Lytechinus pictus: one gene and its partner. The protein of the gene in region 1 purifies or fractionates together with the protein of each later gene. This does not show direct contact. Links are inferred from orthologs where the notes say so. Each region holds a gene or a part of one and is shown in the gene's direction. Other genes may lie near its edges.

The links. The genes of interacting proteins can lie anywhere in the genome.
Region 2: the proteins of serine/arginine-rich splicing factor 5-like (region 1) and ribosomal RNA processing protein 1 homolog A-like purify together in Homo sapiens (affinity purification with mass spectrometry; 3 studies listed by BioGRID and IntAct, with this or other methods). This does not show direct contact. The link is inferred for Lytechinus pictus from reciprocal best matches to the Homo sapiens genes SRSF6 and RRP1B.

The regions. Positions count from the first base shown.
Region 1 is NC_087251.1:24,525,928-24,533,329, forward strand, and holds the start of serine/arginine-rich splicing factor 5-like, read left to right. Parts: upstream 1-4,211; 5' UTR 4,212-4,417; coding exon 4,418-4,546; intron 4,547-6,703; coding exon 6,704-6,832; intron 6,833-7,402. UniProt on the Homo sapiens protein: Plays a role in constitutive splicing and modulates the selection of alternative splice sites. Plays a role in the alternative splicing of MAPT/Tau exon 10. Binds to alternative exons of TNC pre-mRNA and promotes the expression of alternatively spliced TNC.
Region 2 is NC_087252.1:14,096,430-14,103,995, reverse strand, and holds the start of ribosomal RNA processing protein 1 homolog A-like, read left to right. Parts: upstream 1-4,565; 5' UTR 4,566-4,624; intron 4,625-5,681; 5' UTR 5,682-5,752; coding exon 5,753-5,894; intron 5,895-7,566. UniProt on the Homo sapiens protein: Positively regulates DNA damage-induced apoptosis by acting as a transcriptional coactivator of proapoptotic target genes of the transcriptional activator E2F1.

The DNA.
Region 1 (7,402 bases):
CTAAACATTCACTTTCAGAACCTCACAGGCCACGAGTTCAAACTTCAGTCCAAGCTAGCTGCAAGAGAGTCGACTTGAATGCTCAGGCCTCACACACCATGCACGATGCATGCATGGCTTCGGATGCTCCGCCATAGGCCGTGGGGCTCGCAGAGCTTCGAGTTGAGCCTAGCTAGCTACATAAGAATGGGCATCCATACTCGCTCGAGATCGATCTCTCGGTAATTTCCGTCAGCCATTCGGGTCGTCGGGCAGAGGCAAAGTAGAGTGGCCTTTCTGCGACAAAAAAAAAAAACTTCCCGGCCTGAAGAAGGTCACACACCCCGGGGTCACACACCGTTATACTGCAATCATTATCCTGGATTTATTAATTATTTTTTAACGGGTAGGATATGAGCAGCAAAAAAGAAAAGGGTCAAAATTTAACTCCTCCAGAAATTGACTAGAAAAAAATCCAAGTCTGAAAACGGCCAACATTTTCTTTTTTTTACAAGGGGGCCAGGGGTGCTCCTTTAAAATACCAAATAGGTACCCCCACCCCCTTTCTCTATACAGTGCATCCCAGAAGAAAAAAACACGAAACCGTAATTTAGTGTAATTTTAGGTTGTCATGATCATAAATTTACTTCATGAGATGTACATAAATGAAAAGATATGATTCTCTTCTTTCTATGTCAACATTCTTATAACGCTCGCGACCGATTGAAACAAGAACGTGATGGCTCACCGGCAAAGTCATGCTGTTACAAAGTTCGTAACTTAAAGGTCAAGTCCATCCCAGTAAAATGTTGATTTGAATAAATAAAGAAAAATAAAACTATAGCGTGCTGAAAATCCCAGTAAAATGTTGATTTGAATAAATAAAGAAAAATCAAACTAGCATGCTGAAAATTTCATCAAAATCGGATATAAAATAAGAAAGTTATGACATTTTAAAGATTCGCTTATAGTTTCACAAAACAGTGATATGCACAATTTAGTGACATGCAATTGAAACAGTCGATGATGTCCTTCACTCACTATTTCTTTTGTTTTTTTATTGTTTGAAGTATACCGTACAATATATCATTTTTTTACAGATTTGACAATAAGGACCAATTAACTTGAATGAACCATAATTATAGACAATGCTAATTCTACATGTTCATCAGGGAGGAATTAATCTTTGTTTCACTTGACAATGAGGAGAAAAGTAGAATATTGCATATTTAATCAAACAAAATACAAAATAAATAGTGAGTGGATGACTTCGTCAGTCTCCTCATTTACAAACCGACCAGGATGTCCATGACTAAATTGTGAAATTAAAGGGGAATCCAACCCAAATAAAAACTTGTTTTTACAAGAAAGAGAAAAATCAGACAAGTTGATAGGTGAAAGTTTGAACAATATTGGACAAACAACAAGAAAGTTATGAATTTTTAAAAGTTGTAAATATTGGTAATCACTATACCCATGGAGACTTCAAATTGGCCGCATATGGGATGTCATAGTGATGTAAGGCAAGGACTACTCTTCTATGTACTCCAATGCATAAAATTTAATTTTTCCCAAAAGTTTTATTTCAAATTATATTTTTCTTTCATGAGGACATAAAACAATATACTACCTGGGTTATATTTAGATTACTGCCCCAGGGGAATGGGTACGTAGGAGAAAACCACAAATCCCTGATAATAAAGTACATGGCCTATGGGAAAGTTGTCCTTGCCCCTTGTCATAATTTACTTACCCAGTTGCCAATTTGAAATCTACATACTATTAGTGATCTCAATTTTAAAGCAGCTATAACTTTCTTATTGCTTGTCCGATTTCTTTCAAACTTTCACCATTCTGTTTAATTTATTTTTCTCCTTCCCAACACAACATTTTATGGCCAAGACTGGATTCCCCTTAAAGGAGAATGAAACCCTTGAACCCAGCTGAATCGATATCAAAGAGAAAAATCAAAGAAACATATTGTTGAAAGTTTGAGGAAGATTGAATGAATAATAAGAAAGTTATGAGCATTTGAATATTGAGATCACTAATGCCATGTAGTTCCTCCCATTGGCAATGCGACCAAGATCTGTGATGTCACACACGTACAACTCCCTCATTACTTTAGTACTTATTTCCTTTATATTCTCACTTTTATAGAGTCTATCACAAGGTGAGGTGTTCTCTTTATGAGAGGACAAGTACAGAGGTTTCACAACATTATATCATTGATGAATCGATTGTCATATGATTAGAATGAGCAAAAAGAAATGTTTTGGGGTATATTTTGCAAAAAGTACAAAATATACATTTAAATAAGATACAAAAACTTCAAAATAAATATGCCAGAATGCTTTTGAAAAAAAGATTATAATACATCACAAATTTCTTTGTTGCAGTCACTGAAGTGGCAATCAGTAGATCAGCGTATAAAATATCAGTATTGTGTTCTTGTATATAAAATAATGAATGATTTAGTTCCAAATTATTTAAAACCTTTAGTATGTAAACGGCCCGTGAAATACAGGACACGGTTTTCTTTACGATGCCCCCTTCAGCTTCCCAAAGCTAGAATTGAACATAAAAGAAAATCTTTCGCATATGTCGGACCCAAATTATTTAATGCACTTCCTTCAAATTTACAAGTTTGTACCTCCTTGTTAGTTTTAAAAAAATTATGCAAAGCCTTTCATACGAATTGATAAAGAGCGAAATGATATTCCATTGATTTACAATGCTATGTATGTTTAAATTGTCACTTCCCACTCTATATTTTGGTGTTAATTGTTTCTGATGTTAGATATTTTTTATTTTGTATTTTTGATGTTGTTTGTTGTTGTTGTTGTTGTTCATGGTTATCTTGACATGTATTTTAAACTGCAGGGCGCCTTTGTAAAGCAGTTTTAAGAACTGAACAGGCCTACCCTGCAGTATAAAATAAATAAAACAAAATAAATAAATAAATAAATAAATATTTTCAGTGTCCAAAAGGGGAGAGTTGTTCATCTGTGACATCATACATCTTGGCCGCATTGCCAATGGGAGGATCTCCATAGCATTAGTGATCTCGACATTCAAATGCTCATAACTCTTCTATTGCTTTAGTCCTATTTTACTCAAACTTTTGTTGATCTTATTCTTTGATTTTTCTGCTTTCACAAAAGCTAACTTGCTCCAAGAGTTTCATTCTCCTTTAAGCAAAACTTTCAAATGTCAATAACTTTCTTATTTTACATTCCTTTTTGATGAAATTTTCAGTGTTATGCTTGTTGTATATTACTCTTTTTATTCAAATCAACTTTTTGTTGGGATGGACTTGTCCTTTTAATATTGATATTTTCTTCTTTCATTTAATGAGATCTTAAATAAAATGACGCGTGTTGCATGTTATTCTCAAATATTTCCCAATTCATTGAGACTTCATCGTATACATGCATTTGAAGCAACCTTATATGCAGTGAAGTGATTTCAACCCGTCAGCACTAGCGTACCTACGGGGGGGGGGGGCAGATTGCCCCCCTGACGAGTCTTGAAGACCTTTTTTTTTTTTTTTTTTTTTTGCTTGTCAAATTTTTTGTCTGGTACGAAATCCTTTATTTGTGGTTGAAGACCTTTTTTTTTTTTTGCTTGTCAATTTTTTTTGGCGGACGAATTTGCCCCGGCCCCCCTGTGGAAAATTCTAGGTACGCAACTGCCCGTCAGTAAGTGAAAGGGGTCAAAGTAGATGAATATAATTTTTTTCTTCTGATTTCTCCTCTTTTTTTGTGTGATGATGTTTGTTTAGAGGTGTTGTGGCCCAGTGGATAAGTCTCCGGGCTTTGAACCACACGGTATCGGGTTCAAATCCCACCACGGCACTCGAGTCCTTTGGCAAGGTGTTTATCTACATTTGCCACTCTGCACCCAGGTGTAGTAAATGGGTAACCAGTAGAAGGATATCGCTTGAATGCTCGAGGTCCGACCAGGGTATAGCTGTGTTATGAAGCCGGGGTAATAGTATGCTGCACTTAGAAACAATTGTATTAAGCATACCATAACATTTTATGGTTCATTCAAGTTGGACCTTGTTGTCTCTGTAAAAATTGAAATATTGTATAATTCAAACAATAAAAAAAATAATAGTGAGTGAGGGACATCATCGATTCTCTCATTTGCATGTGGCTAAATTGTGCATCTAACTATTTTGTGAAATATAAGCGGAAATTTAAATATTATAACTTTTTTCTTATTATACATCCGATTTCGATGAAATTTTTAGCATAATGCTTGTCTGATTTTTCACTTATTGATTCAAATCAACATTATTCTTAGGTGGAATTGACCTTTAATTGTATATATTGAATCTAGTCTCACTACTTCAGACTCTGCATTATGCGAATTGCGAAAATCAAGGGTCTGTGCCTGCAGACTAGTACTAGTCGTATTTTGTACATTACGCATGCGCAATTCAACCATGAAAAAAATAAAGCGTGCGTTCTCTTTTCCGCCATTTTGTGACGAGCCTGGACGGAGCTGTGGGCCAGTTGTGTTGGGAGAGGTTTTTTCTTCGTGTTTTGTTTCAGAAGTCGTAAGTTTTGATGGCTAATATTCCTTTCATATCATGTACTTTTAATTCAAGATTTTTTTAATTCTTTGATTCAACTTTTTAGGAGTAAAAATGTGTGAAAGAGAAAGGTTTTTTAAAATCTTTTTTTTTTATGAGTCTGAGAATTGAGTATTTGAGATGGAGTATGGCATATGCACGTGCCAGTGCAGTGCATATGTGGTGGCGTCGTGAGGTCACATCTATCGCATCGAGTTGTGCGTGTGGAATGATTGGCCACTTGGCATCGAAATTTGGGCAAGACTTCCATATGTCCCCTCCACTGAAATTGAAAAAAAAATATGGAGGTTTATGAAGAATTATCTAACATATATCTAAGAGATTTAAGAAGGAAAAGTTGGATACATACCGTGGCTTTATTGAATATTCTGTCCAAATTTCGAGTGTGTGTAATTCCCAATGTAGTAATGGCATCGTTTTATTTAGTCAGAAAAATAAATACTCTTGGGGAGTAGACTAGTTGTAATATCGGTTGATAACCGTTATGAAACCCATGGCTTTCAACAATTTCTGCTAGCTCAATGAGTAGTAAGGCGACAGACTGGAGTCTGATGCTCGTTCTGCAGCGAGAGGTTCGAATCCAAGTTCCAACTGAAACTGAAAGTGGAAGATGAAGAAAAAATGAAGAAAATAAGAATGAAAGAAGGGGGTTTTGGAGAAGTATTTTTTTTTTAGTGGAGGGGACATAAGGAAGTCTTTCCAAAATTTGGATTGTGCTATACGAGGCCGAGGCCTATTTGACTTTGTGCATGCCATTCACAACCATTAAAGTCTAGATAACTTGGTTAAAGTGATTGGTTAACATTGGTTTGACTTTTAAAAATCTGAGCTAGAAGGTCACACTTGTCACCTGTGTCTGTGATATGTTATAAAAATGAAGCCCAGAAAAAATTTCGTTCGAAAATAATTATTTAGTGCTTCAAAAATTGAAATATAAAGTGACTGAAAACACCATCTATCTTAATTTCTTCCCATACACTTATGTGTACTATTTAGGCGTCTGTAAGACGCCTTTTTACAAAATCGGGGTTTGCCTTGTAGTTTTAGCATTCTCAATAATGGTTGTTTTCAGGGTTTATTAGTTCTAATACATGCACTTGTACACTTGTTTCATCTTGGTTTGAGAATTTTTTAAATCGGCTGCTCACAAAGTTAAACAATACCTTTAACTCACTTAGAGTAAAGTGTCCAAATATCGGAAACTTTATAAGGTTAAGCATAATTGGACCAAAACAAAAATACAATCATTGAATGGTATAAAAATCATGTTTATTTCTATCCTTGAGGACTCCCTGATGATATTTTTAAATATTATGACATATACTTCATCACGGAGCCTTGAAACTCTTCCCGTAGACGCATAAGCGAGACCTACAAACCCGGATGGATTTCCCTAGGAAATCCATATTTAGACGGTGAAATTGGTTTGTATGTATTTATTTTATTTATCTATGAACCTTCATATATGCCTAATGCATATGAAGGGATAAGAATTATTTCACTATGAATGTGAAATATGAGGTATCTTACCAGACCGATCCGTTTGTCAACAAAGCAAATACAATAGGCTTGACCCTTGAACCGCTTCGTTATGACGTACCTTTGATTAGCGATGTTACAAAATGCTGTTTTGAAGAACAATTTATAGATAAACATTATTTAACAAATAATAAAATTTAATACTTCATTACAAATTATTATTATTATAAGTATAATTCATTTTTACTTGTACCATAAGCATTAACCCAGAGGCTGGGGTACCAATGGGGTACCAAAAACACCCCAAATAAAAAAAAGAAATCATTCACCCACCTCAATTCTACTGATGTTTGTCTAACTGACTGTAGGCTCCTAACATTGAAGCAGTAGGTAGACCTTGGGGAAAAAATGCACTGGCATCCGTTTCCTCCCTTTCAAAATGCTCACGAAATGGCCAACCAATACAGATGCGCGAATTCTTAGCGTTCGAAAGATCTGCAGCAGCTTACCCATTTGTTCACATAATTTTAGTTTTTAACTTCAGTCTATATAAAGATTCGTAATTTTGATTTCGTTAAAGACTGAAGTTAAGGACTAAAATTAATTAACTAATTTATCTGTCTCACATTAATTCCTTTCTAGATAATGTCAAGTGGAAGAGTCTATGTTGGAAGGTTGAGCTACCAAGCTCGAGAGAGGGATGTTGAAAGGTTTTTCAGAGGTTTTGGTAGAATACGTGAAATCAATCTAAAAAATGGCTTTGGGTTTGTGGTGAGTATTGCCATATTTTCATGCTATGAAAGATCCTGAAGCATTCTCATTTACAGATTTATTGGTTACAGCTGATAATTTTTCTGGTATCACATTGCTATTAGCTCTCCATTTTTTCATCACTTTACAAAATATTGTTGGAAGATACAACCAGAAATGCTAATCAAATTTTGAGGAGGAAAATTATTCCCTGGTGAGAAATGCATGCTTTGGGTTGAGATATTAATTTTACTTGTTGCTCTGATTTTTATACTTTGAATAAAATGGGTAAACCATTGCAAAAGCATGAATCAAGTACTCTTAATGTGATAAAAATGATTATTGGCCCGTTCTCTGTATAATACACACTAAATTGGTTGTCAAGAATTATCAGTTTTTCAGTCAAATTCTTTAAAAAAAAATATATTCTGCATTTTGTTGCATTTACACTCTTAATGGTGCATGAGTTGTGTAAAAGTGAGTTGTTTTACAGTTTGAGCCATGTTTGCTGACAAACTTCATTGAAACATAAAGAGACATATCTTAATTTTGGATTTTAATTGCCAATAGAGATTTTTTTTCCTGAACCGT
Region 2 (7,566 bases), on another chromosome or scaffold:
AATTTGGGAGACTGCAAAAGACCGAAAGGTCTTGACGAGGCAGACCCCGAGTGCCATCATGGCAATACATATATTGGCATAGGTTAAAATGATGACATGAACAGGATGAAAAAAATATAAATACAAATGTCCTAACCCCCCCCCCATCCCCCATCGGGAACTGGAAGCCAGTGTAACAATATATAAATTATCAAAATACACTTTAAGAATATTTATGAGTCATATGATGATATAATGTGTTTTTTTAGCTTACGTTTAAAAGAATAAAGCGAAGAACATTTTTTAATTTCACAAGGCAGCGAGTGCCAAACATCAGGTCCTCTATGTCTAATGGATTTATAAGCAAGTACTGTTTTGGGATTACTAAGATGAAAATTGTTAGAACCTCTGGTATTGTGTTCATGAACCTGGTTATTGCGTATAAACATTGAATTAAAATTGCTTGGAACCAAGTGATTAGTATAATTGAACATAAAATTTGCAGTTTGTAAGATATTGATATCAGATATTTTTAATATGTTCAGTTTTTTGAAAATTGGATCAGTATGGGCTAAGTAAGGAGAACCTGTGCAAATTCTTATGGCTCTTTTCTGCAGTAGCAATAAGGAATTAACATTTCTTTTGGTTCCACAACCCCACGCAATATTAGCATAAGATAAATAAGATAATATAAAAGAATTGTACAATAGTATAATAGACTTTGGCATTAACGTATCTTTAAGTTTAAACATTATACCAATAAATCTAGAAATATGAGTTCTTAGATGCTGAAAATGCAAATTCCAATTTAAATGTTGATCGAGAACAACGCCAAGAAATTTAACATTAGTTTTCCTTTCAATTAGGGTATTGTCTATTAAGATTTGGCACTGGTCTTCCATAATCTTTTTTATTGGGTTGTGAAATATAATATAATTGGTTTTACTGAGGTTTAGAGATAACTTATTACATTGTAGCCAGTTGGTTAGTTTACGTAATTCTACATTGATAGTGACGATCATTTTATTAAAATCATGATGGGAATATAACAGTGTCGTATCATCTGCAAATAACACATAGCTAAGCATTTTGGAAGAATTTACAATGTCGTTCATATATATTATAAAAAGAAGCGGCCCAAGAATGGATCCTTGTGGGACGCCACACTGGAGTTCTAAAATTTGTGATACATTTAAGTCGACCTCAGTGTATTGAATTCTGTTCTTTAAATAATCTTTGAACCATGCAAGAGGCGTACCCCTTATACCATATAACGTTCAAGTTTATGTATTAATATTGAATGATCAAGCGTGTCGAACGCTTTTGAAAGGTCCAAAAATAATCCAGTTATATATTGTTTTTTTGCAAGGGATTTGGTTATTCTATCATATAAGTCCAAAACTGCTAATTCAGTTGAATGTTGTCTCCTAAAACCATATTGGGCGGTGCAAAGTAATTTGTTTTTGTCTAAAAAAATATATACCTGGATATGGATTATTCTTTCTAAGATTTTAGATAAAGAGGGTAAGATAGATATAGGTCGGTAATTTTCACATTGGATACGATTTCCCTTTTTGAATATTGGTACGACCCGTGCTAATTTGAAAGAATTCGGATAGCATCCAAGAGACAATGATAAGTTGAAAATATGACATAGTGGTTCAGCTATAAAAAAGATTATTTGTTTTAAGATAAGTGAGTTAATATCGTCATGACCACAAGTTTTGGTATTTTTAAGGGATTTTACTATGGATATAACTTCGTGTGGTCTTACGGGTTTGAAAAATATCGAGTTTTCAGCTCGATCAGGTAAAAAATCTTTAAAAGAGTGCTCATTAGTTATAAAAGTTTTTGATAACGTTGGCCCTATGTTTACAAAATATTTGTTTAAGATGTTTACAATTTTCTGTGGGTCACGTGTCTTTTCTTTTTCAGAGTACATTTCTTTTGTGAATTCTGTTCTTTTGCCCCTACCTAAGATATTGTTTAAGATGGACCAGGTAGCAGACATATTTCCCGATACTCTTTTAAGTTTATTTGTATAATACATTTTGCGTGATGCTCTAATAACGGCTGTTAGTTTGTTACGATAAGCCTTAAATATGTTATGTTGGACGGTATTGCTAGGATTGCGTATATACAACTTATATAATCGGTTCTTTTTTCGGATAGAATTCATTATCGCATTAGTAATCCAGGGATTATGAATATTATTTTTTCTTTTCTTTTTGAGCAAACAAGGTATATTTTTATCATAATATTCCTTAAATTTTTGAAGAAAAAGTTCATATGCTATGTTCACGTCATGTGTTTCTTGAAATACATCTGACCAAGTTTCTATTATAAGGTCGATTTTAAGGGAGTTTATATTTTCGATTGAATATTGTCTATTAAAATATTCATTAGATTCACATCGTTTCCCTTGTGTTTTTCTTGATATTGTAAAAATAGGAAGGTGATCTGATATATCAGAATATAAAATACCACTTTGGAAATCTTCTCTTACAACATTTGTGAAAATGTTATCTAAAAGCGTTGCGGATGCCGGGGATACTCTGGTAGGCTTATCTATTAATGGATAGAGGGCGTAACTATTCAGAAACGACATGAATGTATTATAAGTCTGGTCGTTTTTTGTAAGTAAGTTTACATTAAAGTCGCCCATTAGATAAATATGTTTACCACCTTTCGAAAAATTACTGATACATGATTCTAATTGAAGAGTGAATGATTCAATATTCGTACCGGGTGGACGATACGCTACACCTACAATTACATTTTTACATTTGACATTGGTAATTTCTACAAAAAGCATCTCAAAGTCTGGTGATTCGGACAGAGGGGTCGTTAATTGAAAGGAAATATCTTCTTTTACATATAATACTACGCCTCCTCCACGTCCGTGTAATCTGTCCGACCGTAACATCTGATAACCTTCTAAATTGAATAAAGAAGGAGAATTAGGGTTTAACCATGATTCACTTACTCCAATGATGGATAGCGAATTGTTCAGGGATTTAAGTAGATTAGATACACTGTCAAAGTTGCGACTTAAACTCCGGGCATTTAAATGTAGTAAGCTGAAATAAGACTTGTTGTTATTATGACAGGAATTAAACTCATCGGGTAAATAATAGTGGCATTCATTAGATTTGAGTTCTTCTTCAGAAAAAGACATGTTTAAAGACTCAACCATCTAAGGATTTACATTGTTCGTTTATGCAGTACACTACTATCGTTAAGACACTGGCATTGATATCTAAAGACATGTTCTTAAAGTGGAAATGGCAATTGTTACAATATGACTTTGAGAGACTAAATACGCAGGAAAAACATATACAAAAGCCCATTAAAGATCTAATATAGAATATGTACACACTATAAGCAAAGATCTAAACAATATAATGGTGTATAATAATGAAATAGAATATAAAAGTATAAAACAATTACTATATATTATTTAGCGCATAAACAATTCGGATAATCTGGAGGAAAATTCGTCAATTTTAGGTTTGCCTTCAGCAAATATATAGACACATGATAATATAATAATGTAAGTATGCATATATCAATGGTATGTTGATAGGCATTGGATACAGACAGTAATTTAACCCATAAATTTATCGGGTTGAAGTTGTATTGAGACATACAAAGAGTTATTCAAATGCAGAATATAAAATTACAATCTTTATGATTATGTATACTAGTATATATATATATTAATGTTGAGTTACAATACAATGTGGTTTGATTTAAACAACAGTTTCGTAAATATTATAGAAGGGTATTTAATATAACACAGTTTTTCAGGATCTACTAAAATTGCCCATATGGAATAGACAAACTGTAGCGTTAATAGAGTTTATAAGGCAAGAAGGTCACTTTCTCTGAAGATTTGTTTCTTCATTGAAGTGTTAGGATCTGTCGTTTTAACCGAGGCGATAATACGGCCATCACTTGTCCATGCCGCGTTTACATTTTTGTGTTGGCTTGTCTTCTTGAGGAGTTTGAGGGTTGTCAGTGTCAAATCTTCTTGAATAGAAATTCCACTCCCTTTCAATGTCTTTTTCGCTTTCATAAATTGCGTCTTCTGTTTGTAGGAACACAATTTAACGATGATGGGTTTAGCCTTGGTTGGATCTTTTTGACCTACTCGATGGGATCGATCGATGTGGTGTTTTTTCAACTTGAACCCAAGCTGATCCTTGGCAATGTCAATTGCTATTTGATCGGTATCTTCACCTATTTTCTCTTTCACACCAAAAATTCTAATGCTGTTTCTCCTTGTATACTGCTCGAGAATATTCAATTGGCGCTCCACGTCTTCTCTTTTCTCGATTTCATTCTGTAGCTGTTTCTCCAGAATATATGTTTCTTTCTCTTTACTCTCCAAAGAATTTTGAAGTTGAATGATGGCTGATTCATTTTCTTCTATGTGGCGACGCATGTTTTCACATTGAACATTCACTACTTTATCCATTGTTTCTTTACAGACACTACAGTCTCCAGTGTTTTCATGAATTCTTTTGTTTTGAGTAATTTAGTGAGAATTGTTTGAAGGTGATAATCATCATTAGGTGAATGTTCAGACATATCAATCGTAACAGTGTCATCAGCTATATCACATTCAGAATCATTTGGATTGGTATGTTTCACCTTTTTCTTGCTTTTAGGGGTGCGCTTCACTCTGGCGCCATCCCCCTTACCCGCCATGATCGGACACCGAAGCGAACGTAAGGCTTAGGCGGGAACAGTATACACACGGATATATGTGACGATCAAAAGTACATATGGGACTGAGAGAATATATATAGTTACGTTCAAATGCTGATCGTTCGGCAATGCAGATTTGCTGTTTCTCCCTCCAGATCAGTCCAATAACGAAAATTTTGTGGCAATTACATCACGAAAACATAGGTGTTTACAATCACAATTAAGTCAAGTCATAAAAAATAGAAAAGAAATCAGTATCTTCTTGCAAATCTTGGCAATAATCTCAGGACGCCAAGACCACGTCACATCACGTCTATCTATCCGCTGTCTATTTCTTTTTGCCAAAATAAGAAAAAATCAATCAAGTTTAGTTATTCAAATCCATAACAACAACAAGAATAACATGAAAAAAACATCCGATGTTCATATCCGAAGATACGCTTTAGAGAGAAATGAATGATTATTCTTTTTGAAACCATTAATTGATTTCAATTATTAAAAAATTGTTAAAATATGATCATATTACCACTGGTGGGATGGAACACCCTATTAACAAAAGTTGTTTTTCGTCGGGGTCCTTTTATGTCATGTGTTAAAAAATATCATATACATAAACATTTCATTCATTTTCATCTTGAACCTCCACCCATCTGTTAAGTCCTGGAAAAGAATGTTTTTATTTAATAACAATATACACAAATTGCGAGGGAAACAAAAGGATTGATGGCATACTATAATCATCACTATAATCATCGATCATGATCAAACTTTTCATTTTTTCATCATCATTATTATAAATTTTCTACCCTAAATTATTGGGGGGGGGGGGATGATAATACAGGCCATCCCCCCCACTTGAAATATTGGGGGGGATATATCCCCCCATCCCCCCCGTGATCGACACCCATGTCTGTTATGATGTTATCAGCAAATCATTACACTTCTTCTCTTTTTTCTTCTACTAAAAAAAATAAAATTATGAATACTAGTATGCGAAAACCGAAGGTCTGTACCCGAAGACTACACCCATGCTCCTGTAATGTAAACTACGTGATCAAAGATGGCAGCGCCATGTGGACAATCGCCGCACAGCGTCGAAATTCATTTTGCTCAGAGACTTGCTTCAAATGAAAAGAAAATACGTGACAGGGCAATCAAACGATTGAGACACTGGATAGCTGCAAGATCTCAAAAGGATGGCAGTAAGTATGGGGTACTGTTGGAGAATTTCAACGAATCAGCTTGCATTAATTTTTTTTGCACGGTCCCATTCGTTCGTTTTCGTGGGAGGTCTTGTTGCCCCAAATAAATAAGAGTATAAAGACGTGCCAGGACACTTAGATCTAGGCCTAAGCATAATCATGAGCTAGACCAGGGGCAGCGGAACTGGGGGTGGGAAAGGGGGGGGGGGGGCAAGTGCCCCCCAAAATATTCCCTGTAGACTGTAGTAGGAAAAAATTCCCTTTTTGTAGCAATGTAGGTATGTGCGAATACGGGCGCATCGCGAGCGCTGGTTTTGGCTGCACGGTTTTCGCGCGGGTTTCGCTGCAAGTGGCATCGCCTCTGTCTGGGAGGCTCATCAAAAATGGGGTTTCATGCGCATGCGCACATAGTTGATGCAATCTCGTGCCTTGATACAGACAGTTGAAAATGTGCTCTTTCTGTACATATAAGTTTCAATGTGGATACTCGCCTGTGATTTGAAGTGTGGATATCGGAGCTTGAAAGTTCATCAAATTTTTGGATGCGCAAATGATCGAAATTTTTTAATGGTAAGTAGAACTACGATCCAATTATGTATCTGAATTGTTATAGAATATATTCAAATCAACAAAAAAATTAAAATTAAATTAAAAGATTCTATCGTTGAGCTGTCCAGATATAAGAGAAGCGAGCTACCCTTGTCACAGCCGGTCTCTTGGCAGTCGAGCTACCCGATGCGGTGGGCTCCCTTGAACCTTGAAGGAATAATCCCTTAAGCAGCTCTTCCAAGCTAAACTGGGATGGGATGTGCTGTGAGTGTGACAGAAGGTGATGGTGCAGACAATTTTGTTGGAATTCTATTTACAATAAAATTGGTGAAGTGCAAGTAAAAATCATGCTCCTAGTGCTTACAGCATCCTGGAACCTACATGAGGCTTTAACCCTCTGATGACAGGAAGGGCAGCCCCCCGGAAGACAGCAACTGATGGGGCAGTAACTGCTTTAGCTGGTAGATGGTTCCAGATACGAATGGTACGGGGATAATATGAAAATTTGTATGCATCAATCGTTGCTTGTGGTACAGAGAGTTTTAGCATATGATCTCTTCTACTGATGTATGGAGCCTGGGTTATGAAGTGTGGAAGCTGGATATTCACAAACTGGTGGTATATCTGATAGAGCATGGTGCTTTGTGCAAGGATACGACGTGTGTGCAGCTGGTCCCATCCCAAATTTGAGACAAGTCCTGAGGCTGATGTAGATTTTCTATAGTCGCGGGTCACAAAGCGAGCAGCTGTTTTCTGTACCCTTTCCAGGCTTGCAGCCGTAGTAGAGGTGTGGGGATTCCAGGCTTCAGCACCATACTCAAGCTGCGGTCGAACCAAGGCCATATACGCATTTGATTTGGCCTTTTCAGAACAAGGTGAGAGAGTTCTTCTCAGCAACCCAAGGGTTTTGCTGGCCTTGTTCGCAATAAGTTGACAGTGCGTATTCCATCGGAGGTCTTTGGAGATGGTGACTCCGAGGTATTTGTATTGGTCGACCTTTGCTATTACCTCATTGGAAAGCCTGTAGTTGTGTTGTATGGGAGCTCGCTTCCTAGTAATGGTAAGGGAAGCACACTTCTTGACATTAAAAGCCATAAGCCACTTTGCTGACCAATCTGATAGG